7 linked regions of the Rattus norvegicus genome follow. The protein of the gene in region 1 interacts with the protein of each later gene in a pairwise test. Links are inferred from orthologs where the notes say so. Each region holds a gene or a part of one and is shown in the gene's direction. Other genes may lie near its edges. The genes, in order: Kash5, Nsg1, Cdc73, Stx5, Jagn1, Slc41a2 and Gpatch4.

The links.
Region 2: the proteins of Kash5 (region 1) and Nsg1 interact in binary tests that used the Homo sapiens proteins (3 or more experiments, as listed by UniProt). The two-hybrid records come from large-scale screens. The link is inferred for Rattus norvegicus from reciprocal best matches to the Homo sapiens genes KASH5 and NSG1.
Region 3: the proteins of Kash5 (region 1) and Cdc73 interact in binary tests that used the Homo sapiens proteins (3 or more experiments, as listed by UniProt). The two-hybrid records come from large-scale screens. The link is inferred for Rattus norvegicus from reciprocal best matches to the Homo sapiens genes KASH5 and CDC73.
Region 4: the proteins of Kash5 (region 1) and Stx5 interact in binary tests that used the Homo sapiens proteins (3 or more experiments, as listed by UniProt). The two-hybrid records come from large-scale screens. The link is inferred for Rattus norvegicus from reciprocal best matches to the Homo sapiens genes KASH5 and STX5.
Region 5: the proteins of Kash5 (region 1) and Jagn1 interact in binary tests that used the Homo sapiens proteins (3 or more experiments, as listed by UniProt). The two-hybrid records come from large-scale screens. The link is inferred for Rattus norvegicus from reciprocal best matches to the Homo sapiens genes KASH5 and JAGN1.
Region 6: the proteins of Kash5 (region 1) and Slc41a2 interact in binary tests that used the Homo sapiens proteins (3 or more experiments, as listed by UniProt). The two-hybrid records come from large-scale screens. The link is inferred for Rattus norvegicus from reciprocal best matches to the Homo sapiens genes KASH5 and SLC41A2.
Region 7: the proteins of Kash5 (region 1) and Gpatch4 interact in binary tests that used the Homo sapiens proteins (3 or more experiments, as listed by UniProt). The two-hybrid records come from large-scale screens. The link is inferred for Rattus norvegicus from reciprocal best matches to the Homo sapiens genes KASH5 and GPATCH4.

Annotation. Positions count from the first base shown.
Region 1 is NC_086019.1:104,824,921-104,829,209, reverse strand, and holds the start of Kash5 (protein KASH5), read left to right. Parts: upstream 1-1,489; 5' UTR 1,490-1,606; coding exon 1,607-1,628; intron 1,629-1,689; exon of another isoform or gene 1,690-1,828; intron 1,829-4,289. UniProt on the Homo sapiens protein: As a component of the LINC (LInker of Nucleoskeleton and Cytoskeleton) complex, involved in the connection between the nuclear lamina and the cytoskeleton.
Region 2 is NC_086032.1:76,874,579-76,878,078, forward strand, and holds part of Nsg1 (neuronal vesicle trafficking-associated protein 1), read left to right. Parts: exon of another isoform or gene 1-1,065; coding exon 1,066-1,176; intron 1,177-3,500.
Region 3 is NC_086031.1:57,993,532-57,997,031, reverse strand, and holds part of Cdc73 (parafibromin), read left to right. Parts: intron 1-136; coding exon 137-242; intron 243-3,500.
Region 4 is NC_086019.1:215,079,859-215,083,185, forward strand, and holds the end of Stx5 (syntaxin-5), read left to right. Parts: intron 1-2,093; coding exon 2,094-2,253; 3' UTR 2,254-2,827; downstream 2,828-3,327. UniProt on the Homo sapiens protein: Mediates endoplasmic reticulum to Golgi transport.
Region 5 is NC_086022.1:148,145,932-148,150,038, forward strand, and holds the start of Jagn1 (protein jagunal homolog 1), read left to right. Parts: upstream 1-1,307; 5' UTR 1,308-1,402; coding exon 1,403-1,491; coding exon of another isoform or gene 1,492-1,498; intron 1,499-1,902; exon of another isoform or gene 1,903-2,082; intron 2,083-4,107. UniProt on the Homo sapiens protein: Endoplasmic reticulum transmembrane protein involved in vesicle-mediated transport, which is required for neutrophil function.
Region 6 is NC_086025.1:22,270,038-22,274,112, forward strand, and holds the start of Slc41a2 (solute carrier family 41 member 2), read left to right. Parts: upstream 1-1,275; 5' UTR 1,276-1,420; intron 1,421-1,679; exon of another isoform or gene 1,680-1,947; intron 1,948-4,075. UniProt on the Homo sapiens protein: Acts as a plasma-membrane magnesium transporter. Can also mediate the transport of other divalent metal cations in an order of Ba(2+) > Ni(2+) > Co(2+) > Fe(2+) > Mn(2+).
Region 7 is NC_086020.1:175,810,762-175,813,904, forward strand, and holds part of Gpatch4 (G patch domain-containing protein 4), read left to right. Parts: intron 1-857; 5' UTR 858-912; coding exon 913-991; intron 992-1,366; coding exon 1,367-1,440; intron 1,441-1,533; coding exon 1,534-1,626; intron 1,627-1,720; coding exon 1,721-1,807; intron 1,808-3,143.

The DNA of each region.
Region 1 (4,289 bases):
GAATGCACCACAACTGTCCTGAAAGCGTTTGGCAGTTCTTTCATCTAGACCAGGTGTCCTAGTTTGCTTTCTACTGCCATGGTGAGCACTACAATCAAAACAACTTGGGGAGTATCGGGTTTATTTCATCTTGCGATAGATCACAGTCCATCACCAAGAAAAGCCAAGGTAGGTGTTGGAAGCAGGAACTGAAGCCCAGTTTCCTTTTTCCCATACAACCCAGAAGCACCTTCCCAAGGGTGGTCTTGCCCACAGTGGGCTGGGCCCTCCTCCCACATCACTCATCAACCAAGAAAATATCCCCCACAGATTTGCCTACAGGGCAATATGACAGCATTTTTTCAGTTAAGGTTTTCAGGTGACTCTGGCTTTGGTCAAACTAAGCAGCACACGGATGGGGTCTCATGGTCAGTAAGGTGAGAAAGACCTTGCCCTTTTTGCCTCTACCTCCTGAGTATTGGTACACCACCATGCCCAATTCATGAGGTCATAGGGGTTGAATGAGGGCACCTTGGTGAAACCCTGTACCCTGAGCTACATGTCCAGGTCCTTATTACATGTATGTGTTTTTAAACAGCAAGGGGAAGAAAGCGAACAAATGATAGGGTATGCATGTGGAATTCAGGAGCCCTCCTTCCATCCTATGGGTCCTGGGGATTCCGGGATGGGTAACAAATGTCTTTACTCACTTTGTAATGCTGGCCGGTCTAGGACTGTATAGACCAGGCTAGCTAGTCTCATGTTCCTCCATCTTCCTGGCCCTGCCTCCTGAGTGCTCACCGAACACCACTAAACAAACAAACAAACAAACAAAAATGCTAAGCAGCTGGCCATGCTTTTAGTACCCATTCTGCAGACAGCATACGGGGATGAAGCCTGGGACCAGCACTCAGACTTTAGTTGTTGGATCTTTACGAGGGAAAGCAGACCCACAGACAAAGAGGAAAGTGCAACAAAAGGATCGGTTTTCTGGAGTGACAAGTGGATGAGAGATTGGAGTCTTCTGTTCCAAATATCCTTGGGAGACAGAGCTCCCTCTCTACTGACGTTAAAAAGCAAAAAAGAAAAAAAAAAACAAAAACAAAAAAACAAAAAAAACAAAAAACAAACAAACAAACAAACAAAAAAAACAAAAAAACCTGTCCCTCCTTCCTCGTAAATGAAAACGTTTGAATAGCCCAGCGTGATGGGCTAAGGCAGGGTGATTGCTTCAAGTCCGAGGCCAGCCTGGGCTACATAACTAGGCAATAAATAGGAAAGTAAAATAAATTGTTTGGGAAACAGTTTGGGTATGTATTAATGCCACAGAGCGGGGGCGGGGAACAATGGAGCGGAAGTGAGGGTGCGCCCCATTGTGACGGTGGCAGGCGAGCCAGACCCAAAAGAAGATTGAAAGGACTCGGTTCAAAGACTGACAAGGGGTGAACAGGGTGTCCTTCGGTTGAACTCTCCCCTGCTCGGCCCTATTTTGCGAAGCAGAAGGGAAGGATTTAGTACCACAGAAGAAAACTGTCGATAATATCGCACCATCACCGCTATTCCACCACCACTAGTGCGCATGCGCTCATTTCTCTGATCTAAGCGGTCGTCCCGGGAAGTTCTACGCATGCGCGAGCTCGGGGTTCAAGGTAAGGGGAACCGCAGGCTCCCATCAACCCGGAGTGCGCTTGCGTGAATTCAAGAGCCTGAGAGGGCGGGACTTGGAGGAGGCTGGCTCATTTGCATTTCTGGCGGGAAAGGCGCGTGTGAACACGCTTCTTCTGTGCCAGTCGCAACCGCCGTTCGTCGAGGGTGGCCCTCAACTGAGTCCCGAGAGTCCCGACTCCAGGTACGCCCTGCCTGTGGCGACTTTGATGGCAGGTTACCCGGTAACATCTCCTGCCAGCTCCTTTAAAAAGGACCCAAGTTCTGACGAAATCTCCGATGTTCATGAAGTAACCCTCTGGGAAGTTTTGTTTTGAGGCAGGGTTTCTCTGTGTAGCCCTGGCCTTAAACTCAGAGATCCGCCTGCCCCTACCTCCCGAGTACAGGAATTAAAGGTTCCCTCTGGAAAATCCTAGTGGCAACTTCGGAAATCCTGTCAGAATCTTGAAACTTCCTGTTGCTTTCTGTTGCTTGTTTTCAACGACCTTAGGATCCTCATGCCTCAGTTTTAGGATCACAGCTCTCCCAGATATTCCCAACTACAATCTTCCAGAGCTTTTGAAACCTAATACTTAAGCTGTTTTGTTTTTGTGAGCAGAGCAGGTGTTTTGTTTTGAGATAGGGTTTCTTTTGTGTAGCTTGATTGTCCTAGAACTAGCTCTGTAGACCAGGCTAGCCTGCCTGCTTCTTCCTCCCAAGTGCTGGGATTAAAAATGTCCACCACCACCGCCTGGCTTTTGTATTGGGGTTTTTATTTTTTTTTATGAGTATTTTGCCAGCATGCGTGTATGTGTGCCAGGTGTATGCCTGTGCAGACCAGAAGAGGGTACAGTATCCCTTTGATCTAAAATTACAAATGATTAGGAGCTGCCATGTGTGTAGTGAGGATCTAACCCATATCTATCTGGAAGAGTAAACTGTTAGTCCTCTTAACCACTAAGCCACCTCTCTAGGGACTCTTCTAGAGCTTCATTAAATTGCCCAGACTCTACTCAGAAACTTGGATCCTGCAGCCTTAGCCTACCACGCCAGCAGCTAGGATCTTAGCTCATCAGAGTCTCCCTTAAAGACCTGCACAAGAACTATCTGATATTCTAGAAATTTGTCCTGAGTTCCCGTACAAGTTCCACTGGGGACCCTGAAATCCAGTGACACCCCAGAAATGCAGCCCTTGAATTCTAGTCCAGGGATCACTCTCGACTTCGTCCAGGTCTAAAATCCCTCAAGACACTCACCAGCAACCTGATCTCCCTTGTTCCTTAAGAATTTTCCCCTTGTTCCTTTCCTCCCGCCTTCTTCCTGAGTCTCTGAAAACCTCTCCCTTCCCTTTGGCCTCTGGGATCGGCAGCAGGAGGATCACCACTAGCTGAAGACTGGCCTAGTTTACACAGCCCACAAAGCTACAGCTACATAATATATATTTATTAAGTCCCTGTCTCCAAAAGTCAAATAATGTCTCCAGAACACATGCAGCTGCTGGAATCCAGGCAAAGCAGAGTGTTGGTTGCATTCCCTGAGGAAAGGGTGATAACCTTTTTCTCTCCCCTCAGTGACACAGATACAGACTGGATTAGACCAGATTAAAAATAGATAAGGGCAGGTTCATTAGGAGGCATCCACCTCCACCGTCTCACACGTGGAGGTCAGTGAAGTCCCACATCCCAGCTAAGCTTAGCAAGGGAGTTTTATAAAGCTTAGGTGAGGAGTGATAGCCTGCCAGCTAGGAGCTGGGATTCTGTCCTTACATGGTCAAAGGCTGAGCCCCTGGGCGGGCACTTATGGGTGGGTGGCTAGAAAATGGAGAGGAGAGGTGAGAACATGTTAGCCCGGAGTTTCCTCCTTGTGGGCAGAAGAGCAAAGGAGGTTTCTTGGCTTGAGCAGGGGAGGAGCAGGGGGTTCCAGCCGAATCAAAGGGGTGGCAAACAGGAGGAAACCCAAACCCTCTCTACCCTTGGCCCCCGGTGCCCTCTGAGTGTTAGGGGCTCTGTTGCCAAACATCTAAAGGAATTACTGATAGTGCCTCCTTTTCTCTTGAAGGTGACTTATTTTGACTGGCCAGGCTGTAATAGAGGCAGGACAGCACTGTCAGGGTGCAGAGGAGGGAGTCCTTGTGATCATAGAGGCCTGTGAAAGTCAAGTCCTAGATCTAGGAGGGGCTGGAGGGATGGCTCAGTGGTTAAGAGCACTGACTGTTCTTCCAGGGGTCCTGAGTTCAAATCCCAGCAACCACATGGTGGCTCACAACCATCTGTAATGGGATCTGGTGCCCTGTTTTGGTGTGTCTGAAGACAGCAACAGTGTACTCTCCTATAATCTTTAAAAAGGCGGGGAGCAGCAAGCCTGTGAATGATGCTGAATTCTTATGGCCACGGAGGGTAAGGGACATGGAGATGGCTGGTGGAGGGGAAAACAACAAAAAGAGGCAGTGAACCTAGAGAGAAGGATCAGTGGTTAAGAGAACTTGCTGTTTGTCTGCTTGATGCCTTTAATCCCAGCACTCTGAAGCTGATGGATCTCTGAGTTCAAGGCCTGGCTGGTATTCATGGCCCAGGCCAGTCAGAGATATACAGAGAGACCCTGTTTGGAAAAGAAAAGAAAAAGAAGCTACTGAAACGGTTACTACTCTTGCAAATGGCCCAGTTTCG
Region 2 (3,500 bases), on another chromosome or scaffold:
ACATGATGTTCCCTCCAGTGTGTGTCTCTGCCTCAGTTCCTTTTCTTGTAAGGACACTGACCAGACTTGACAAGCTAATGACCTCATCTGAACACAACCCATGTGCAAAAGCTCATTTCCAAATGGGGCCCCAACCCCAGACACTTGTGCTGGACACACTGTGTATTTCACTGTGGGGTTGGGAGCATGTTTCCTAGTACTCTGTCACTTTCCAGATACCTGTAAGGCTGACAACCATTTTCCCCTTGCTTTATGATTTTTTAATATTAAAAAACATTAATGGAGTATTAAAAACAAAAAATACAATATTAATTTCCTCTGTGTGTGTGAGACAGAGACAGAGAGAGACAGAGAGATAGAGAGACAAAGAGATGGGAGTGCTTTCAGAGTCAGTTTTCTCCTACTGGGTCTCTGGGATTGAACTAAGGGCATCAGCCTTGGTGGCAAATGCCTTTACCGATGGAGCCATCTTGCCAGCCCTGCTATTTTACTTTATTTTATTTTATTTTATTTTATTTTATTTTATTTTATTTTATTTTATTTTATTTTACGGCAGGATCTCAATTAGCTCAGTCTGGCCTTGAATTTGCTATGTATTTGGGGATGACCTTGAACTTCTGATCCTCCCGAAGTGCCCGGGTTACAGGTGTGTAGCACCTCCCGGACTCAGCCCTGTGGGCAGGGACAGCTAGTGAGAGGCAGGCAGCTGGCTCCCTGGCAGGGTGGATTCCTGCCAGGCAGTGTTTCCGGGTGAGGTGGCCTGGGTTGAGATCCTGCTACAGGCCCCACTTCTCTGTCAAGGGCCCAAGTCGTCTGGGAGTCATGTGGCCAATGCCAAGGCTTTCCCGAGTCTGTGCACAGAGCTTTCCTTGTAGCCTGAAATGCTTGAAACACATGGTGACCTGTGGATGTGTTGAAAAGTCAGAGCCATACAAAATGGCCACTCCAAGGTGATTTTCCCCAAGCTCTTTGCGCAGGCGCACATAACTTCCGTGTGAATGACTGCTTGTCCCTGCCAGTCAGCTGTCTTCCCAGTCCCAGGGCGTTCTCTGCCTCTTCCCACAGGTCTCCGTGCTGGTCCTCTTTGCCCTGGCCTTCCTCACCTGTGTCGTCTTCCTGGTTGTCTACAAAGTGTACAAGTATGACCGTGCGTGCCCTGATGGGTTTGTCTTGAAGGTAAGGTCTTGTTTCCCATTGCCCGACCCCCAGGATGTGAACCTCTTTCCTCCCTAATCCTAGGGCCGTATAGCAGCAGGCTGTGCACTTTCAATGGGAGGGTCCTCGCTGAAGACCCTGCCTGGGCAGCTAGGCAAGGAGGCAGAAAGCACAGTGGGGTCACTGGGAGGAAACTGGCTTGTCCCTGGGGAAGAGCTCGCCCCGCCCCCTGCGGCAGAAAGTGCCAGGCTGACACTTCCATCGGGTATCTGGCGGGAGTGGGGTGCAATGACCAAGAGGAAAGCCCTGCCCCAAGCCACACCAAGGGACCCCTGCCTACAGGTTGCTCTTGGGTTCTCCTGTGGGTTCCTGTGCAGAGGCCATGTTGGCACCTGCACACATGGAAATGTTCTCTCTGCTTCTATGCCTCCTTCCCATGAGCCTACTGTGGGTGCAGATGCATTTACACAGAGGACTAAGGAAGCAAAACTGGAGGGAGGGAAGATAGGGCGGAGGTAGGAGATGGAGCAGAGCAGAGAGGCTTCTATGCCTCACTCGCTCTGCTTCTGAACTTTCCAGAGCTGATGGGAAATGGCCCTGTGCGGGCTTTGGAGCTGCTCAAGTGTGAACAGAGCGGGCACTGAGTGGGTGCTGCCTGTACCGCTTGTGGGTCCTTGCTGGATGGATGTGTCTGGGCTTTGCTGAGATGCCCTGGCAGAGCCAGTTAGAAGACCTGAAAGTTCTTGTAGACAGAACCACAGACAGGACCTCCTCTACCTCTTACACACTGCAAGGTCCTAACATGGCTCCTGCCTTGCAGCCCTTCCTTCCTCCTGTAGCGATTGTAGGATTCTAGAACTCTGGTTGCTCAGGGTGCTAAGCCACACCCAGGAGCAAAGACCCCACCTTCCCGACTCCTTCTGGTTCAAGAAACATGAGACAGGCAGGAGGGCAGGCATGTATATACTGAGTGAGGACTTGAGTCTGTCCTTTCTAGAAGGTGGTCCATCCTGGGACAGCTTCTGGAACATAGGGCAAAGTAGGAGATGAAGAGAGTAGAAGGTAGATTGGGGCGTGCTTGGTGGCATTTGGGAGAGTGGCCAAAGTACATCGAGGTTGTACACTGCTCAGCACCCTGGGTTCCTAGCAAAGGCTCCCCAAAAGGGTGATGAGGATGATCCCTTAGGTCACCTGGACATTGAGAGGGGCAGACAGTATGCTGACAGAAGAGGCTGTTGCAGTCAGGCAGGGGAGAGAGGGTCTGGATGGCTGACGCAATGGGGACGGAGAGGCAGACCAGTGTGACAGTGGATAGACAGGAAGACTGAATTAGGGAGGCCAGGAGGGACTGACCAGGACCACCTGGCCTGAAGCTGGGTGACTCAGGCTGACATCATAGGGGGCATGTGGCACCTCTGTGGGAAACAGGATAGGTAGGAGACAGCTCCTTCCTGTAGCCACTGTCACAGATGATGGGCCAGCACTCCACCAACCACAATGCTGTCCTGGGTTTTCTGCCTGGCCCATTTTCTCTGGTCTGGGGCAGGCTCCTTGCCCAGTGCAGTGAGAAGCCAAAACTGGTGGTTCCACTCAGCAAACCCAAGTTCTGTGGGAGAAGGTGGTGCAGAAGAGGGATGATGAAGAAGATGGGAGGCCAGGGCCCAGGCTGACTTTGGATCAGATCCCTGGCGGTGTGGGAGGAGGCTGGGGATCTACACGGATGAAAGGCAGGTCTGCACTTCCTTGGGAATCCAGAACTCCCTAGGAACTTCTGGAAGTGCATCGCTGTGGGCTTGTACAGTTTCCAACAGTGTTTTAATGGTGGCAAGTGATGGTGGTGGTTGTCTGGATGACACAGCTAGGTGGGTGGGGGAGGCTTTCCTCCTCCTCTGTATTCAGGCACATGGTACGTTCCACATCAACCTCCAGGGGTGGAGGACTGGTCCCGAGATCTGTGAGCCACACTGCCCTGGCTGGCCACCTGGAGATCCTAAGGGAGTGCCTCTTCCCTTTTACCAATGAGAAACAGGGTTCAGAGGCACTTTGTCATGCCCAAGGGCATGTCCTTAAGTTCCTTCCACTCTTCAGCATGCATTTATTATCTAGGGGCCTCTGTAAGTGTATCAGCTGAGCCCTGGGAATCTGCTTGGGTGGAAAGGGAACCCCAGAAGCCTGAGTTCTACCAAGCAGCCAAATGGCCCAAGCTGAGAAGTATGCAGAGTCAGTTAAAAGGCAGACAGAACCAGGGTTGTGTGTGTGTGTGTGTGTGTGTGTGTGTGTGTGTGTGTGTGTGTGTGTGTGTGTGTGTGTATGTGTGTGTGTGTGTGTCCGTCCTAGCACTGAGA
Region 3 (3,500 bases), on another chromosome or scaffold:
AAAGTTTATACTGCATGTATGTTTTTGCTAGGTTAAATACACTGTTAGATAACCAACTAGATATAGATAAATGAATGCATGTAACTGAGCTCAAATATTTATCTTAATCTTAATAAAAGTCATGCCTTAATTTTAGGACCGGAAAGGAAGGCCAACCCAGAGAATACTACACATTGGATTCTATCCTATTTCTCCTTAATAATGTGCACCTTTCGCATCCTGTTTATGTCCGACGTGCAGCTGTAAGTAGGAGTCATTTTAAAACTATTGATCAAATAGTTATAGATAACTTCACTCATGGGTTTCAAATGTCTGAAATTGTCATGGAGAGTGAAAATTAAACTGCTACGTGATTTATTCAGATTTTTTAGTTGGCAGTTCATTCATGTAAAATATAGGTAACATTTATAACAGAACTTTTTTTTTTTTTCTTTCTTTTTTTCGGGGCTGGGGATCGAACCCAGGACCTTGCACTTCCTAGGCAAGTGCTCTACCACTGAGCCTAATCCCCAACCCCATAACAGAACTTTTAAAAGTGACTACATAGATGTTTCAAAAAATATAAGTAGAAGAACTCTGATAATTCAGAACTATAGTTTAATTTCAAGAAAACTTTTCTTAGTATAAACATATTATAGGAGAAGGCATAAGAATGATATAAATTTAGTACTAAAGTATGAAAATCTCAATAAACCCAACGTAAGCAGATACTTCTTTAGAATTTTAACCAGAACAGTTCTTTTGGTACTTTATTGACAAATGTATTGTTTTTTAGTTTTATCTGCTTTGTCAGTGTTTGAAAATTCATTGTTGAGAGGAAATTATTAGGAATAATTAAAAATATTTCATTTCACAAAGATTGTTATGATGAGGTTCTTCTGCTGGCAAGGGACTGTTAAGTAGGATTCTGAATTATTTGAGTTTGACGTTGCAGCTTGGCATACATGTGCAAATTATGATGGTTCTCCAGATATTTCTCTGGGTATTGGGAGGACACAAGTCTCATGTAGCCCAGGCTGGCCTCTAGCACCTGTCTAATTGAGGATGACCTGAGCTTGTGCTTCTCTTGCCTCTACCCTCTAGTACTGGGATCAGATGTGTCTGCAGTCATGTCCTGTTAATGTGGTATTGGGCACTGAGCCCAGGCTTTCATGCTTGCTAGGCAAGTACTCTTCTTCTGAGAGACGCTGCAGCCCTTTAACTTTTATTAAAAGTGGTCCTCCATCAGATTTCTTGATGGATCAGACATAGAATTACTTTGGAGATACTGATATAATCAAATATCTACTCTAAAAGCTGTTTTAACTTTACTGCATTGTCTTAATTTGAAAGTAGTTCTTTCATTTCTGAATATTCTCAAAACAAACCCATAAAATCTTCATTGTGACTTCCATCACTAGAGATATTTTTTGGCAGCTTAACACTACTGCTGGATTGCATTATGTTGTGTGAAATTTACTCTTACAACCTTTCCTTCTAAGTAGAGATAGTTGAGGCTTTTGAAAAGTAACTTGTTATTTGGACCAGTTGTGAAAGTACCTCATTTATTCTGCTTCAGTAGGACTGTTTTTCTGAGTAAGAAACATATATTCAGTGTTAAATATATGTTTAAAAATCTTAAAGTTGGTAAGTAGTAGGGAAAATTAATAATTGACCATTACATTATTTATTAGATCTTTAAAATCCTAATTAAGCAATAATTAGAATTGTTTGTTAAGTAATTTACGTACTTAGAGCTATAAACATTTCATATATCTATATATTCATGTATGTATATTTATATATACATATATATGTATGTATACATACATAGTTTTGTTTTTTGAGACGTAGTTTTTCTGTTTAGCCCTGGCTCATCGGAAATTCATTCTGTAGACCTGGCTGTCCTGGAACTTAAGAGATTCTCCTGCCTCTGTCTCCTGAGTGCTACCACTGCTCCGCAAGACTATTCTTCGAGTGGCTATAGTTCATAACTTATAGTAACAGTTATTGTGGACTCTAGGACTTACATTTATAGTCATATAAGATATAACCCTTGCTTTACTTAAAATTTCTCCAAATGAAATGGTACAGAGATCTAAAATTCTGCAGCTTTACAGATTAGAGGTTGCTTTTTAAGTTGCCATGTTCCTTGCTCTGTGCTGTGTGCTGACTCTTCCTGGAATAGGTGCTCTGATCTCTGGGGCTTTGTAGAGTCAGTAGACCTGCAGCTTCTCAGGTGGGTCATAATGTGGACATAAACAATACTTAGATGGTTCTGAAATACATGAGTAAGCTTTGAGATAGTAATTTAAAGAATATCAATTCAGGCTGGGTGGTGATAGTACATACTTTAATCTCCGTACTTGGGAGGGAGAGGCAGGGGGATCTTTCTGAGATCAAGGCCTGTCTTGTCTCTAGAGTGAGTTCCAGGACAACTGGGTCTACACAGAGAAAACCCGTCTGGAAAAACCAGAACAAAACCAAAAAGACATTAATTCAGATATGTGTAATGTTCCAGATACACTGGTTAAAAATGACAAGGAAAGAAATACTTGTAGGTTTTAAACTTGTGTACAAATATATATTTATATTTATATTCCTTATATAAATTTTAGATTTTCCATGTATAGCTGAAGAAAAATAAGCGATTTACTTGTTCAGCTAAGTCAGAAAAAAGTATGTGCAAATAATGGGTGTAGTGACTCAGTGGTCATTGTGATGCAATTGGCTAGTGATACTAAGGGTTCTCATCACTTCATTGTTGTTCATAATACTCAACAAAGGTTTTAATCTATGCAATCCCTTAGAAACCAGTTTTTCTTGCACTCTCTTGTTTACATTAGAAAAATGATAAGAAAAATTGTGGTAATGGCAAAAGTCGTTGTCCCAAAGATGACTCGATACCTGCAGTATACATTTTATTTATTTGTTTTAATCTTGAAAAGAATTGCTGGTTTTTTGTTTGTTTGTTTTTTGTTTTTAACTTTAATGTCTACATGTGTCTCTTAAGTACACACGACTGCAGGTACCAGAGAAGGCCAGAGGCATTTAACTCCTTCCCTGAACTGGAGTTAGAGGTGGTTGTGAGCTACCTGTAACTGGGAATGCTAGGACGCAAACTGTGGTCCTCTTAAAGAGCAGAAGGGCTCTGATTGCTGGGCCATCTCCCAGCCCCAATTCCAACCATATGTTTACAAGTAATGATTGTAGGTGGATTAAAGAAAAACTTCATTTTTCTAAATTGATAATGTGTTCACACAAGAACTTTAAAATCTTTTTTCTCTCTATTTGAATTTATATACAGTCTAGGATAAAAAGAAGTGTAGAGGGTTAATCACTACAGTCAACATTTTTATAGTCTATTTTTCTCATTCTTATCAATTATCAAAATATATATTTAGTGGTTTATGTAATTTATTTGGAAGGATTTCAGTTGAATAGTTTGAAGAGGTTTGGTCTGGGTGGAGAAAAGCACTGCAGATACTGTATAAAATGAGACAACATTGAAGCACAAGGCC
Region 4 (3,327 bases), about 110 Mb from region 1:
ATTCAGGCTTCTGAATTTACGACACTGAGATGAACTCAGTCCTCATGTTTGTCTTCACAGGACCTTAATCTTGCAGCCCTTTGTCCAGCCCTTCCTCTCTATTTCTAGGCCCCACATAGGCCATACTCAGCCCCTATAGGGCTCTGTGTCACAGATCCATTTTTAAAAGTCAAGATGTATGGCATCATGCTTCACTTACTGATAGGGCTGGGTCTGAAATTTGTCCTTAGATGACTTTACCATTCACAGAGTAGAGTTATGTGAGCTCAAATGACTTTTATGTCAGTAGGCAATACAATCCTAGTGGACTGTCCTGCTTTATGTGTAGACTACCTTGTCTGAAACATCTTGTTACATAGGATGGTATTTGGGTTTTAAATTACTTTCAAGGCATGTGTGTTATGTTGTATGAGCATGTGTAGACCAGAGGAGGCATCAGATGTCCTCTTATAATTTTTTTTCTTTTTTTCTTTTTTCTTTTTTCTTTTTTTCGGAGCTGGGGACCGAACCCAGGGCCTTGCGCTTGCTAGGCAAGTGCTCTACCACTGAGCTAAATCCCCAACCCCCCCCCCCTTTTTTTTTAAATTATTTTTATCTAATTTTAAAAAAAATTTTGAGACAGGGTTTCTATGTGTAGCCCTGGAACTCACTCTGGAGACTGGACTGGCCTCAAAACTCAAATTAGCCTGCTTCTGCCTCCCAAGGGCTGGAATTAAAGATGTATGCCACCATGTCTGACTATTTTATTCTCCTTGAAATAGGGCCTCCCTTAGCCTAAAACTTGGCTTTTGTTGGTTTGGTTGGTTGGTTAGTTAGTTTGTTTGTTTTTTCAACCAGCAAAACCCAGCTCTTTTCTTTCTACACTTACTTGCTGTGCTCTGGTTATGGGCACAGTTAAGACTGTGGCCAGCGGGGTTGGGGATTTGGCTCAGTGGTAGAGCGCTTGCCTAGGAAGTGCAAGGTCCTGGGTTCGATCCCCAGCCCCGAAAAAAAAGAAAAAAGAAAAAAAAAAAAAAAAAAGACTGTGGCCAGCTTGCTCTGTGGGTGCTAGAATCCAAATTCAGGTCCTCTTGGTTGCCAAGTAAGCACTTTAATACTGAGTTATCTACCCAGCCACAATATTTGGGTTTTAGGACTATATATGTAGGGCTAGAGAGATGGCTCAGCCATTAAATGCTAGGCTCACAACCAAAAATAGAAGGGTTGTATATGTAGATTGGCTGGAAGTTTTGTTTGCCTCAGTGAGTTTTCAAAATTGTCCTTCCTCTGAGGAGTTGTTCCCCCAAGATAATGTTCCCTGGATGTAAGAGTTGTATTATTCTTTGAGTTCCTGTCTATATTAAGATGTTCCCATCACCCAACAAGGATTTTCTGACTATAATGGTTTGAACTTCTCTCCCCATTAATCACAATGCAATACATATTCATTATTGGAAAAAAAAAGCAGGAAATGTTTATGAGTAAAACTTACAGCATTTGGGGTACTCATATAGATTGGAGGCTCATTTAACTCACTGAAAATTAAAACCTCATGAGGAGCTGGAGAGATGGCTCAGTGATTAAGAGCACTGACTGCTCTTCCAGAGGTCCTGAGTTCAATTCCCAGCAACCACATGGTGGCTCTCAACCATCTGTAATGGGATCTCCTACCCTCTTCTGGTGTGGCTGAAGACAGTGACAGTGTACTCACATACATAAAATAAATAAGTCTTTAAATAAAAAAAAAAAACAGATAAATAAGAAATCTCATGAAAGGAGTAGGGTTTATATCATTTATCTCATTTTTTAGATGTGGAAAATAAGACTGGTTAAATAATTCAATCATAAGCTAATAACTGGCAGGACACTTTAAAGCTAGAATCAAACATGATCTACTACCCTCAAAAAACTTGATATGTGTGTGTGTGTGTGTGTGTGTATGTATGTATGTATGTATGTATGTATGTGTATACACACACACACACACACACAGTTAACGTAGTATCAAATACTTTTTACTTCTACATATTGTGATCAGCTTCCCATATCAATAAATGGATGTCTTTAACCTTCTTCAACCCAGTGTTCCTCTCTGTTTTATCTCCTGTTTCCAGGATTGACGAGAATGTGCTTGGAGCCCAGCTGGATGTTGAGGCCGCCCATTCAGAGATCCTCAAGTACTTCCAGTCAGTCACCTCCAATCGGTGGCTCATGGTCAAAATCTTCCTCATCCTCATTGTCTTCTTCATCATCTTTGTGGTCTTCCTTGCCTGAACCCTCCTCCCTCATTCTGAGCCACTCCATGGAGGGCCTGGAACCCTTCTGGAAGGACAGGTGGCCACTATTGCCACTGAGCCTGTGCAGGGTAGTTGGGAGAAAGGCCATTTCCTTGGAACTGCTAAGAATGGCCAGTGTCCCTGATTCCCCACCCTTGTCTCTGGCCACTCTGTCCTACCCTCAGGCCCATGAAACACACTGGTTCTGGATTTGGCCTCTGCTGTGAAGTGGCAGGGAACAGAAGCCAGCTAGGGCCAGTGGGGAGGTTGTCTCTACCATGAGATTTTTATAAACCCAGACCAGCCTCCCCTAAAGGTAACTGGCAGCAAGAGGAAACAATGCCCTTCCTTGCCTTCTGGAGAGTGAGGTGAGGAAGTAAAACTATCCCAGGGACCAACTTAATCATCTGGGTCATCTAGAACTTGACTGCCACCTTCTCCTCACCATGTGAGGTGGGGGGGGCTCTGAGCCCTACAGTTGCACAAACCTGACTTTGGCTACTGGTGACTCTCAATCTGCCAAACATGCTGCAGCCTGTTTCCTCCCAATTACAGCAAGACTGTCAGCCTCACTAGTGATGTTGTCGTTTCTGGGTGGGATCGTCGTGGGCTTCCGCAGCCAGCAAACCACTGCTTAATACCAGAACCAAAAGGGTTAAGTTGGTGGCTTTGACAGCCCCCATTGATAGGCAGAGCAGCTTTGGAGCTCTGTACCCACAACTCCCTCTTAAAAGGGAGTGGCCAAGTAACAACAGCACTAAATTAGAATTTTCCTTTGAACTGGAGCTAAGTGGACTCATTATTGGGTGTCAACTTCTAGGGCTGTCCCAAACAGTTTGAGCCTGTTTAACCTGTATCTTCAAATCACCTGGTCCTGATTTTTGAACTGAGTGAAGCAAGAGCTCTGCTGCTGGGTGAAGAGCATTTGTGCCCAGCTCCAATTTGTACCCAGCTCTTTGGCACCTTCTAAGATCCTGAGCAAAACCACTGCAAAATGGAGGTGACCCACCTAACACAGACCCTCAAGGGAGATTAATGAGTTGTTTTGTCTTTCTGATCTGTGTTAAAGTCA
Region 5 (4,107 bases), on another chromosome or scaffold:
CTTTCCTGGCTTCCTCTGGCACCAGACACGCATTTGGTGCTCAGAAACAAACACATCGGGCATGAAGAATACTCTGTGAGTTCAAGACTGGCTGGCCCACATAGTGAATTCCAGGACATAGTGAGGTCCTCTCTCAATAAAACAAACAATCTGGGTGGGTTCTTTGCAAGAACAGCAGGTGCTCTTAACACTGAGCCATCTCTCTCCAGCTATTTATTTGTTTGTTTGTTTATTTCATTTATTGACAATGTTCAATTCATTCATTCCTTCCTTCCTTCATTCATTCATTCATTGACAACGTTCAACATAGGCAAGGCTGGCCTCCAACTTCCTATGTAACCGAGGAGGAACTCCTCCTCTTCCTTCCTCCACCTTTCAAGTTGGGGAGATTATAAATGTTCACCGCCATCTTTGTTCCAGTTAGCTTAAGGCCCCAGGGTCTCAAACTGTGGATAACAGTGCAGGGAGGAAGAGATGCCTCTTTACTGCCTCAGCCTCTGAATGTTGCCTCTCAACATTGACCGCCCTGTACTTTTAGGTATATAACGTCTTTGCTCCGGATCCTAACCCGAAGGTTGTGTGCAGCTTCAGGAAGTGTTAAGTGTGCAACAAGTCACTGAGCAATTGGTCAAAGATGCCAAGTCGAGCTAGGCATGGCTTAATACTATAATCATGCCTTGGGAGATTGAAGCAAAAAGACTGTCAAGAGTTCGAAGCCAGCATGCGGCACATGAAACCCTGTCTCAAAGGAAAAAAAAAAAAAAACAAAAAAACAAAAAACTTAGGGTCTGGGCCAGCAGTTAAGAGCCTAATAGGGGTTGGGGATTTAGCTCAGTGGTAGAGCGCTTGCCTAGCAAGCGCAAGGCCCTGGGTTCTGTCCCCAGCTTCGAAAAAAAGAAAAAAAAAAGCCTAATAGATCTAGGTTCAAATCCCAGCACTCACATTATAGCTAACAAGACTATCCTACGTCCTCTTCCAGTCTCTGCGGGCACAAAAAAAAACACACGTGGTGCACCGACAAAACACCCATACACAAGTAATTTTTGAAATGCTTTATAATGAAGTTAAAGGGGGTTTGCTTGGGGGCATGGCTGATCGGCATTAGCGGCAAGGGGTTCGATTCCGCACGATGGCATCTCGGGTAGACCCGCGAGATATTTCTAGGGACTAAGTTAATTCTGCACTCGCTCTACTCTGGGAGATGCAAGAACATCCGAAAGACCAAGAACGCATGCGCGAAGAAACCACAGAGTCAGTCCTCCAGGGCTAGAGAGACCGGAAGTGCTCCCAGAGCTGCAGGCCGTGTGGTGGAAGCGGAGAGGAGGAGGCAGGAAAGCGGTTCTCTGGGAGCCTGGCTAGGTGTGAGCCAGAGGGTCGGCGTTAGGGCCTTAGGTTCTTCACGATGGCGTCTCGGGCAGGCCCACGAGCGGCCGGCACCGACGGCAGCGACTTTCAGCACCGGGAACGAGTCGCCATGCACTACCAAATGAGGTACGAGGTGAGACAGCCGTACCGAGGCCTTTCCCGGCGGAGCCTGCAGGTTCTGGGAAGCAACATCAGTGGTCCTCAAGCTGTCGCACTCCAGCCAGTTGTCGTGCACCCGTCAGGTCCCTGCTCTAGCGAACTCTGTTTTATTTCCAGGCTGGGAAAGCCCGGTTGGCCCGCCTTGGTTCGCCTTGTGTTTTGAGGGGATCCAGCTTGCACAGGCACATGGTTCCGTGTTGGACCCTCTCGGTGACCTTGGGGGACACCACTTTGCTTTTTCAAGTCGAAAAAAAGGTTCCACAGTAGAGTTCAGGCTGGCCTCGAACTCACATCCTTCCCCTTAGCCTCCTGAGTGCTGCTGGGTTTTCAGGAATGAACTTGGCCAGAAAACTACCTAACTTTTTTTTTTTTTTAAAGATTTATTTCATGTATGTGAGTACCCTGTCGCTGTCTTCAGACACACCAGAGGAGGACATCGGGTCCCCATTATAGATGGTTGTGAGCCACCATGTGATTGCTGGGAATTGAACTCAGGACCTTTGGAAGGGCAGTCAGTGATCTTAACCGCTGAGCCACCTCTCCAGTCCACTACTTAAGGTTTTTAAAGAAGATTCTTATTTTTAATTTCGTGTGTGTGTGTGTGTGTGTGTGTGTGTGTGTGTGTGTGTGTGTATGTGTGTATGTGTGTATGTGTGTATGTGTGTATGTGTATGTATGTATTTGTGCATATGAGAGCAACTGCTCGAAGAACCCAGTAGAGGGTGTTGGAACTGGAGTTACAATTACACATGGAGTTTTGAGCCCACCCGAGGTTGATGTTGAGAACCAAACACAGAAGGATGGCAAGCCATCTTTCTAACTACAGATCAGAAGTGATTTTGTAAACTAGAGTCTTGGTATGTAGTCCAGATCCCCCTCCATGGAGACCCCCTCTCTCCTGCAGGCTATTTCTTTTTTTTTTTTTTTTTTTTTTTTTTTTTTGGTTCTTTTTTTCGGAGCTGGGGACCGAACCCAGGGCCTTGCGCTTCCTTGGTAAGTGCTCTACCACTGAGCTAAATCCCCAGCCCCCAGCAGGCTATTTCTAATTGGACTCTCCATTTTAACATCTTCAGAGGGAGAAAAAAAAAATCTCATATCTTTTAGGTTTTGGTGTGTAAAGGCCCAGCATGGGAACTAACACATGGTAGCTGCTAAACTTGGGGCTGTTTGGGTGAGTGTGGATGGTAAAAGGTGGCCCTGTCCAACCTGAGTTTTAGGAATATGTCCATATAAGGGGATTTTTTACATCCTTTTATTTGTTTGATAAGTCCTTACTGGCTATCCATCATCATGTATTGTGTTAGACACTGAGGCTGTGCCAGTTTTCAAAACTAGACCTTGTTATTTGGTTTTATGTTATACTTTTCAATAAAGGTTTTGTTTTTTAAAATCTTAAGCACTAGGAGAACCAGGAATGTTAATCACACACGTTGTCTCTTCAGAGGGAGAGAGGTATAACTTGTTTCCTTGTAACCTTTGCACTGTGTGGCTAAGACCATACCAGATACCATACTGTTATCAGGAGGTTATCAATCTGTAGACCCCTTTCTTTCTTTCCTTCCTTCCCTCCCTTCATCCCTCCCTCCCTCCTTCCCCTTCCCCATCCCCTCTGTCTCCAAAGTGATAGGATTAAAGGCAAGTGTCACCACCACCTGTAGACCCCATCTTTATGGAAGATGTCACAAATACTTTACAAAGTTTCAATGTAGTCATGTCTTAGGCTTATTGTGCACATAGGATTGAGTTAATTGTCTTGAGGCCAGCTCTGACAGTGTGTTCTGTGATCCAAGGTGGGAACGTGGGTTCGGCAATGAAATACAGCAGGCACACACTCCCATGCTTGGTATCTTTACATCTATACATACACATTCATACATTCGGTAGATGAAGCAAATCTCCAGCAACTCACCACAGCCTATACATCCTAGCAAAATCTTCCAAGCGGCACAAGAATCACAACGTGGTTACATTCTATTTTACTTTAAGTGAACAATTACAATAAGTATATGTTAAGTAAAGTTTCCCAAATATCTTCACGTGATCAAATGTTTTATGTATTATGGGTGAAAAAACCAAATTCTTCCTAAGAACCCACATATAGTAACTAAGAGTACTTGCTGTTCTGTCAGAGGACCTAAATTCAGTTCCTAGCACTCACATCAGAAGGCTTACAACCTTCTGTAACTCCAGTTCCAGGGCTTCTGATGCCTTCTTCTGACCTCTGACAGCATTGGTGCAGATGTGGTGCACACATACACATAAACTTTTTAAAGAGAAAAAGCCAAACTGGATCCTGCCTTGAAGGAGCTTGAATGACAGAGTAAATTTTTTTTTTTTTTTTTTTTTTGCCTTACCTCCCACATTTCCTAAGATGAATTAATTTTTTTCCTTAAATCCATTGAATCTTTCAGCTGGTTCTTTGCCTCTGTCTGTACAGAAGAATGACAAGCTCTTTGGACCCTTCTTTCTCAACTTTAGGCCCTTCCTATTGGGGAACTCCTAACCCAAGGTCTCGTTGTCACTGCATACCTAGCTAGAGGAGACACCTTGCTCTTGAGACTGAGGATACGAGTGAGACCTAGG
Region 6 (4,075 bases), on another chromosome or scaffold:
GCGTTGGAAAGTTCCTTCCCTTGTAAGATAGGGACGGGGAAACAATGGAAGACTCAGTACCAGGTTGCCTGTGTAAAGATTAAGGCAGAGGCAGCTTCAACATCATGCAATTCAAACAGGTTTCTGGGAAGGTGAAGCAGTTGGTTAGTGGTAAGTGACTCCATTTTGAATCCTAAACCAAAATAGTGACTCCCTGTAATTTTTAGTCAGCACCCGTGTTCTTCATAGTAAAGCTCTCATTCCTAAAGGTAAAGATGTTAAATTACCATATATGTGTGTGTAGGGATTGGGTGTGTGCTCTTGAATGCCAATCAATGCCTGTGGAAGCCAGAAGAAGACATTGGGTCCAGCTGAGCTGGCGTTTCGTGCGTGAGTGCGTGCGTGTGCGTGTGTTCAGGTGGGTGCTGGGAGCTAAATTTGTGTCCTATTGCAAGAGCAGTAGTAATCATCTCTCCAGTCTTATACACGCCACCCCAAATGTGTTCTAGGGCTGGGCGAAACAGTGCATACCTGTAATTCCAGAACAGGAGGGGTAAGAGTTTGAGGGCAGATTGGAGATTGCTGCACGCCTTCAATCCCAGCATTGAGAGGCTGAGGCAGGCAGACCTCTGTGAATTCAAGGGCAGTTTGGTCCTCATATCAAGTTCCAGGCCAGCCAGAGCTGCACACAGTGTGACAGTCTCAAAAAACAGAATGGAGTTTAAAAGCCAATCTGGGCTGCACAGAGAGACCGTCTTCTAGAAAAAGAAAAACCCACAAGAAAATGTTTTTGGTTTTGGTTTTGGTTTGTTTTGAGACAAGGTCTCACTATGTAAATCTGGCTTTCCTGGAACTTGCTAAGTGGGTGCCACCATGGAAGTCTCTCTCTCTCTCTCTCTCTCTCTCTCTCTCTCTCTCTCTCTGTGTGTGTGTGTGTGTGTGTGTGTGTGTGTGTGTGTGTGTGTGTCCTCCCTTTGCCCATCTGAAAAGGTGCTAAATCACCGCTGTGAAAACTTTGGTCTGACCCCTAAAATAGCTTCAGGATCAAAATGATCAGCTTTCCCCAGGAGTCAGTGCCTTGCACCTCACACCTTTGCATAGTGGGAGAGTGGAGTCCCACTAGCTGAACCGCACTTAATAGGTACTTAACAAATTGTTATTGAAGCTATTTGCCCGGTTTTCCTGGGCAAATTCTGGCTCAAGTCTACCTTGGCTCCCAAACTCGAGTGTGGGCAAACTGCAAAGCTCAGCTAGGCAGCGTCGTGCACTTGGCTCTGACCCTGCCAGTCGCTAGGAGGGCGTGACGCGCTGCCCGCACGTCTCCTCCCCGTCCTTTGGCCTCCCAGAAGCGCTCAACGAACGACTCCCACGTCCTCGGTTTCATTCCGGTCCGCAAGGAACGCGAGTTGGACCCCCGCCGAGGCCCGGGGCTGACGGAGCGGTGAGCGGAGGATGCGCGGGCTGGGATGCGGCTGGGAGGATGCGCGGGGCAGCCTGAGCTAACCAGCCAGCCAGAGTCAGAGCTGGCAGGAGGGCGAGCGGGCGAGCGGGCGGCTGCCGGGGCGCGGCCACGGATCCGGGTAGCCTCCGGGCGGCCACATCAGCGGCGCCCGGCGGGTCCGGGCCGGCTGCGCGCGTGCGCGGGGCGGGGCGGGGCGCGCGAGTGGCCGCGGGCGTGGGGCGACTGTCAGAGGCGGCGAGGAGGCGCGGCGGGCCCGCGGGGCTGGGCCGGGCTCACGGACCCCGGGGGCGTCGCCGCTCTTGGGCTCGGCGTAGGCGGCTACGGAGGGAGCGGAGGCTGCGGCTCGGCTGGGTGTGGGAGGGCGGCGTTGCGGCCGGACGCTGGAACCTGGGCCGGCGGGACCCGAGGCCGCCCGACTCTATCCAGCCCTGCCTGCCGCTAGCCTCGGGCTCCGCGCCGGGTTCTGGCGGTGGTGACCCAGGGCGCGCGCCGAGGGATGGAGGAAGGTGAGCTCGGATGCAGATGCTGCGAGCCGGGTTGCGCTCACCCCTGCTTTGGGGCTCAGCAGCGTCGCCACCCTTTATGGCTTTATGGATGGATGCACAGTATGCCTCAAATTTAAGAAGCCTCGGTGCCCATTTATGGAGAAAGCTGGCATGTTTGTGCGTTACTTATATATTACATTCTCAGGTATAGTGCCCGGCTGTCATCTTTTTGTAAATGGACGTTTGTTGACCGAAGCGTCATGTAGCATACGTGCTACTTTTCCTTCTAAAAGGTGGCTTTTCATGTATCCATCTAGTTTTGTAACTGTCACCACTGTTCAGGTAATTTTTTTTTTATTTCCAAAGGAACCCTATACCTTTTAGTTGCTTGTTACCCATTCCCCCCCCCCCCCCCACTGCCCCAACCCACTGGAAACCACTAATTTTTCTGTTCCTATGCATTTGCTCTTTGGAGACACTAATGAAACCATACAGTATTTGTGGTTCCCCACCTCCGTTTAAAGACAAGACTTTGGCTCTCCCCTTATAGTTCAGGCTAATCTGAATTTTCGGTCCTCTTGCCTCAACTTCCCAAGTAGTGATCTCACACAGACTTGTGCCACACCCCACCAATGTGTCTGTGGCTTTTTGTCTGGCTTCCTTCACGTAGCTTAATGTTTTTAAAGCTCATTCATGTTGTAATTATTGTGCATCTGTTCTGTACTTTCTTAGAGCTGAATGACTGATATGTGGTGTGTCACAACCACACCCGTTCACCCATTAATGAAATTGCATAGCTTTTTACTTTTCAGCCATTGGATATGATGCTGCTAGACTGTCTGTAGATGTGCGTTTTAAAGTCCCCGAACATAGGTGTGGAGTTGCTTGGTGCTTAACATTTTGGGGAAACTTTTAGACTTTAATCAAAGTCGTTGCTACATTTAATACTCCACCAAAGTTTATGCGGTCTGCATCTTCCTTAAACTGCTAACACGTTATTTTCTACTAGTTTTTTTTTTTTAAAGCTATCCTAGTGGGTGTGACTTGATATCTTTTCCTGGTTTTATTTTGCATTTCAGACCAGAGATTAAAAAGCCTTTCTATGCTTATTGGCCATGCGTGTATCTGTTTTGGGAAAATATCTGTTTAGATCCTCGGACCCTATTTTTTGCTGTTTTATTTGACTTTTTGTTATTGTTATTGAGTTGTCTTATTCGTTTTAGGAAAAGTTCTAGATTTCTTACTGGTACTGGCAAATTTGCATAAAAATATAATTAAGTGGTATTTGAATCTTTAATAATGCTTTACCCTTTTACCTGGTCATTTTTGGCATTTTGTTGTGATTATTTTTACTATTTATTTGGCTTTCTTGAGAAAAGCCACAGGAGGTGTGGTCCTGGGGTTCCTGCTGGGACTTTAGTTGGTGTTTTTGTAGAGTTTATGTTTGAAAAGTTTCACTTATTGTTAGCTACAAATAACCTGTGTTGGGTTACATAGAACAGAATCCCATGTGTTTCCCAGTAAGAAGGTTTTTTCCTCTTTTAGTCCGGGTAGTTTCTATTGCAATTATCATATATGTGGATGGTAGATAATGTGTTTGCCTTTTTGAGGTAGAGTCAGTCTCTCCCTCTCTCCCCCCTCCCCTCCCTCCCCTTACTCTTCCCCCTCCCCCTCCCCTCCCCCTCCCCTCCCTCCCCTTACTCTCCCCCCTCCCCCTCCCCTCCCTCCCCTTACTCTTCCCCCTCCCCCTCCCCCTTCCCTTTCCCCTCCCCTCCCCCTCCCCCTCCCCCCATGAGTGTGTGTGTGTGTGTGTGTGTGTGTGTGTGTGTGTGTGTGTAGCCCCGGCTGGCCAGGAACTCACTATTTAGATCAGGCTGGCCTTGAGCTTGCAGCAATCCTCCTGCCTCTGCCTCCCAAGTACTGGCACCCCAAGTGAAAAACATTTTACTGGAGCTGAGATTAAGGGTCACCTGGGACTGAATGTCAAGGTGCTTTCTTTTTTTTTTTTTTTTTTTTTTGGTTCTTTTTTTCAGAGCTGGGGACCGAACCCAGGGCCTTGCGCTTCCTAGGTAAGTGCTCTACCACTGAGCTAAATCCCCAGCCCCTGTCAAGATGCTTTCTACATGGGTGATTTCTGTGTATGTACAAA
Region 7 (3,143 bases), on another chromosome or scaffold:
CTTTGTCACCAGAGTAGGGTGAGTGCAAGATCGAGTTTTCACGTTATATACTGAAGTCACACATATAGGTATCAGTATCCACATTACCCTTCCTTTGTCCTGTGTTGTGTTGGGTGTTGGCTCCTTTGACCAGAGAGAGGACGCCCCAAAGAACAGCCTTCCTCCTGGTATCTCCCAGGACTCAAGAAAAAGAATTCAGTAGCTGAAGAGATGGTTCAGTGGTTAGTAGCACTTACTGCCTTTGCAGAGGCCCTGGATTCAGTTACTAGCACCTGTGTAGCATCTCACAACTGTAACTCCAGTTCCCGCGTGTGTGCAGTGCATACACACACATTTGGGCATACATATACACTTATTCTTCTGAAAGAAGACTCTTACACAAGCAGCTTTAAGTGCTTTAAGCATAGACAGGTCTCACGTATCCCAAGCTCCTAGTCAACCTTTAACTGAGCCTTCTGCTGCCACTTCCCCAGAGCTGGAATTACAGGGATGCACTACCACACCTGCTTACACAGTGCCGGGGATTGAACCCAGGACCCACACACGCTAGGCAAGCACTCTACCTAAGTAGAGTATCTAAGGTATACTAAGATACAGCCCCAGCCCACACTACTTCCCTTTCCTTTTCACTCATTTATGGTCTCATAAAGCAGGGGCTGGCTTCAACCTTTCTACATAGTTATAGACGATACGAACTTCTGATCCTCTTGCCTCCATATCCCAACTGCAGGGATTAACATGTGTGGGCCAGCATGCCTTGTTTTACATGATGCAGGGGTTGAAGCCTGGGGCTTTGTGTGCTAGACTAGCGCCCTGCTGTCTAAGCTGCACCTCCAGTCCTTTCTTTCCCTCTTCAGAGTATGGTGCCACTTTTTCCCTGCTGAGAACCTGAGGACAGAGCCTCTCCCTGCCATGAGTGTCACCCCAGAGGTGAAGAGTCGTGGGATGAAGTTTGCTGAAGAGCAGCTGCTGAAGCATGGGTGGACTCAAGGTGCTCTAGGGTCTCTTCCACATCCACCCAACTCCTCTCCTCTGCCCCGGGTCCCTTCAGCCAGAGGAGAGACTAGTAAAGAGAAGTCTTTAGAAGCATAAGTTTTCTGACCCATTAGATTAGGGAAGATGGGAGAAATCCTCATTTTGGATAACAAGGGACAATGAGGAGCAAATGGTTGGGCAGACTAGAGGAGACTGCAAAGAGACAGAAAAGATAGTTCTGGCTCAGACAGAGGCACTGAGCAGGGCTTGAAGGAATGGAGTGAGGTGGGTTTCTGAAGGCATAGAGTATACCCCATGATCAGTATAAGGAGTGGTAGTTAGCCTGGGAAGGCTCACGGCAGGCCTCAAAATAAATCACTCTCCTCTGCAGGCAAAGGCCTGGGCCGGAAAGAGAATGGCATCACCCAGGCCCTCAAGGTGACACTGAAGCAAGATACCCATGGGGTAAGACTGGGAAGTGGTCAGAATGAATGGGAAAGGGCACCCATGAGGGCCAGTGGGCAGTGCTCAGATTGACTTCTACTTATTCATCTGGAGGTGGGACATGACCCTGCCAAGGAATTTACAGACCACTGGTGGAGTGATCTCTTCAACAAGACTGCCGCCAACTTGGTAGTGGACTCTGGCAAGGTATGAGCTTGTCAGGTATATTGAAGAAACCCGCAGGCCTGGGGTCGGGTAGGACAGCACAGCATGCCACTTTCTCACCAATATTTTCCAACAGGATGGAGTGCAGATAAGGCGCCTTTCCAAGGAGACCACCCAGCGCAGTCACTCAAAGCCCAGCTTGCTGTATCAGAAGTTTGTGAAGGTACTAGAGTGAGAGGTCCAGCTCTCAACTGCTCCCATCTCCCCTGGGTCCTGAGCAGTTGTCTTGTGTGTCCAACTAATTCTCAGGATATCCCAGTACATGCAGATCCTGTGTCCAACCTTGTTGTGCCCATGCCTCACCTGGAACTGAAGTGTTACGGTTCCATGGCCCATCCCATCTGCTGGGGAAGCAGCAGTGCACAGTGGGAGGGAGGGCTGTCGTTTAGTTAGGAGCTGCTGGGATGGGGCATGTTGGTGTATAATTTTAAAGAGTCTGAAGCCAGGAGGGTTCTGTGAGGTTGCCTGGTTCATTCTTCATATATGTGACCCAAAGAGTAAAGAGCCCCCAGCTGACTAGTATAGGCAAAAAGAAGAGAAGCCAGCAGTAAATGAGCAGAGATTCTGTGCTCAGGGCTTCCCAAGTCATCTAGAAATCCTTCTCAGTTTCTACATCTTGACATCTACTCAGTTCGGGCAGTCCTTGCCCCTTTAAGAGCCTCTGCCTCTGTTCTCACTCTCCACCACAGTCAGCTAACCTACAAAGCATCCATAAGGGTCTCTCTGAAACACAAACTGTATTATGTAGTAAGGATTTTGGTCTCTTTGAAAAACAAATATTATGGAACTACGTTTTTACTTTAATCTCAGATGTGGGATATGGGGGGCTGCTTCAGATTGCAGTCAGCAGCTGACTATGATTTGCCTCATGCTCTAGCAGGGGTGTGGTTTTGCCAGCAGCAAGTAGTTTCTGGAATTCTGGGGATTTTTCAGAGTGTATATAAATGCTAGGCCCAAGAGGAAGGGTGTTGTGGGTTATTAGTTGTGGTTTGTTAAGAAATTAGATATCCTGTCAGTGAAGATCAAACTTACCTCAAGGAATTCCATGCCCTAATCAGTAAGAGGTAGACTAACAATAACTTTGCCTCCTTTTCTTCCTATCCTTTGCCCCCCTTCCCTAGTGTTGGGGGGTTGAAAGGATGGAAAAAGGATGGAGAAGAGTGGAGGAAATTACCCACAAAGTAGCAAAAGACAGCTACCATATCATAATCCTTTTTGTTAGTTTTTGTTTTTCCACACAGATTCTGTGTAGACCAGACTGGCCTCGAACTCAGATCTGCCTGCTTCTGCCTCAGAAGTGCTGGGATTAAAGTCGTGCAACACCACCGTCCAGCTCTATCCTTTTTAATGAGACTGTCTTCTATGGCCCTTTATGTTTCAGGTCTCACTCACTTCTTTCTGGGTACACACTAGCCAGCAGGTCTTTTTTTCCCCTTTAAGAAGATGTGTTTTCCTCTGTCAGTTGTTCTTGCTTTACCTGCTAAACATTACTTGCTTTC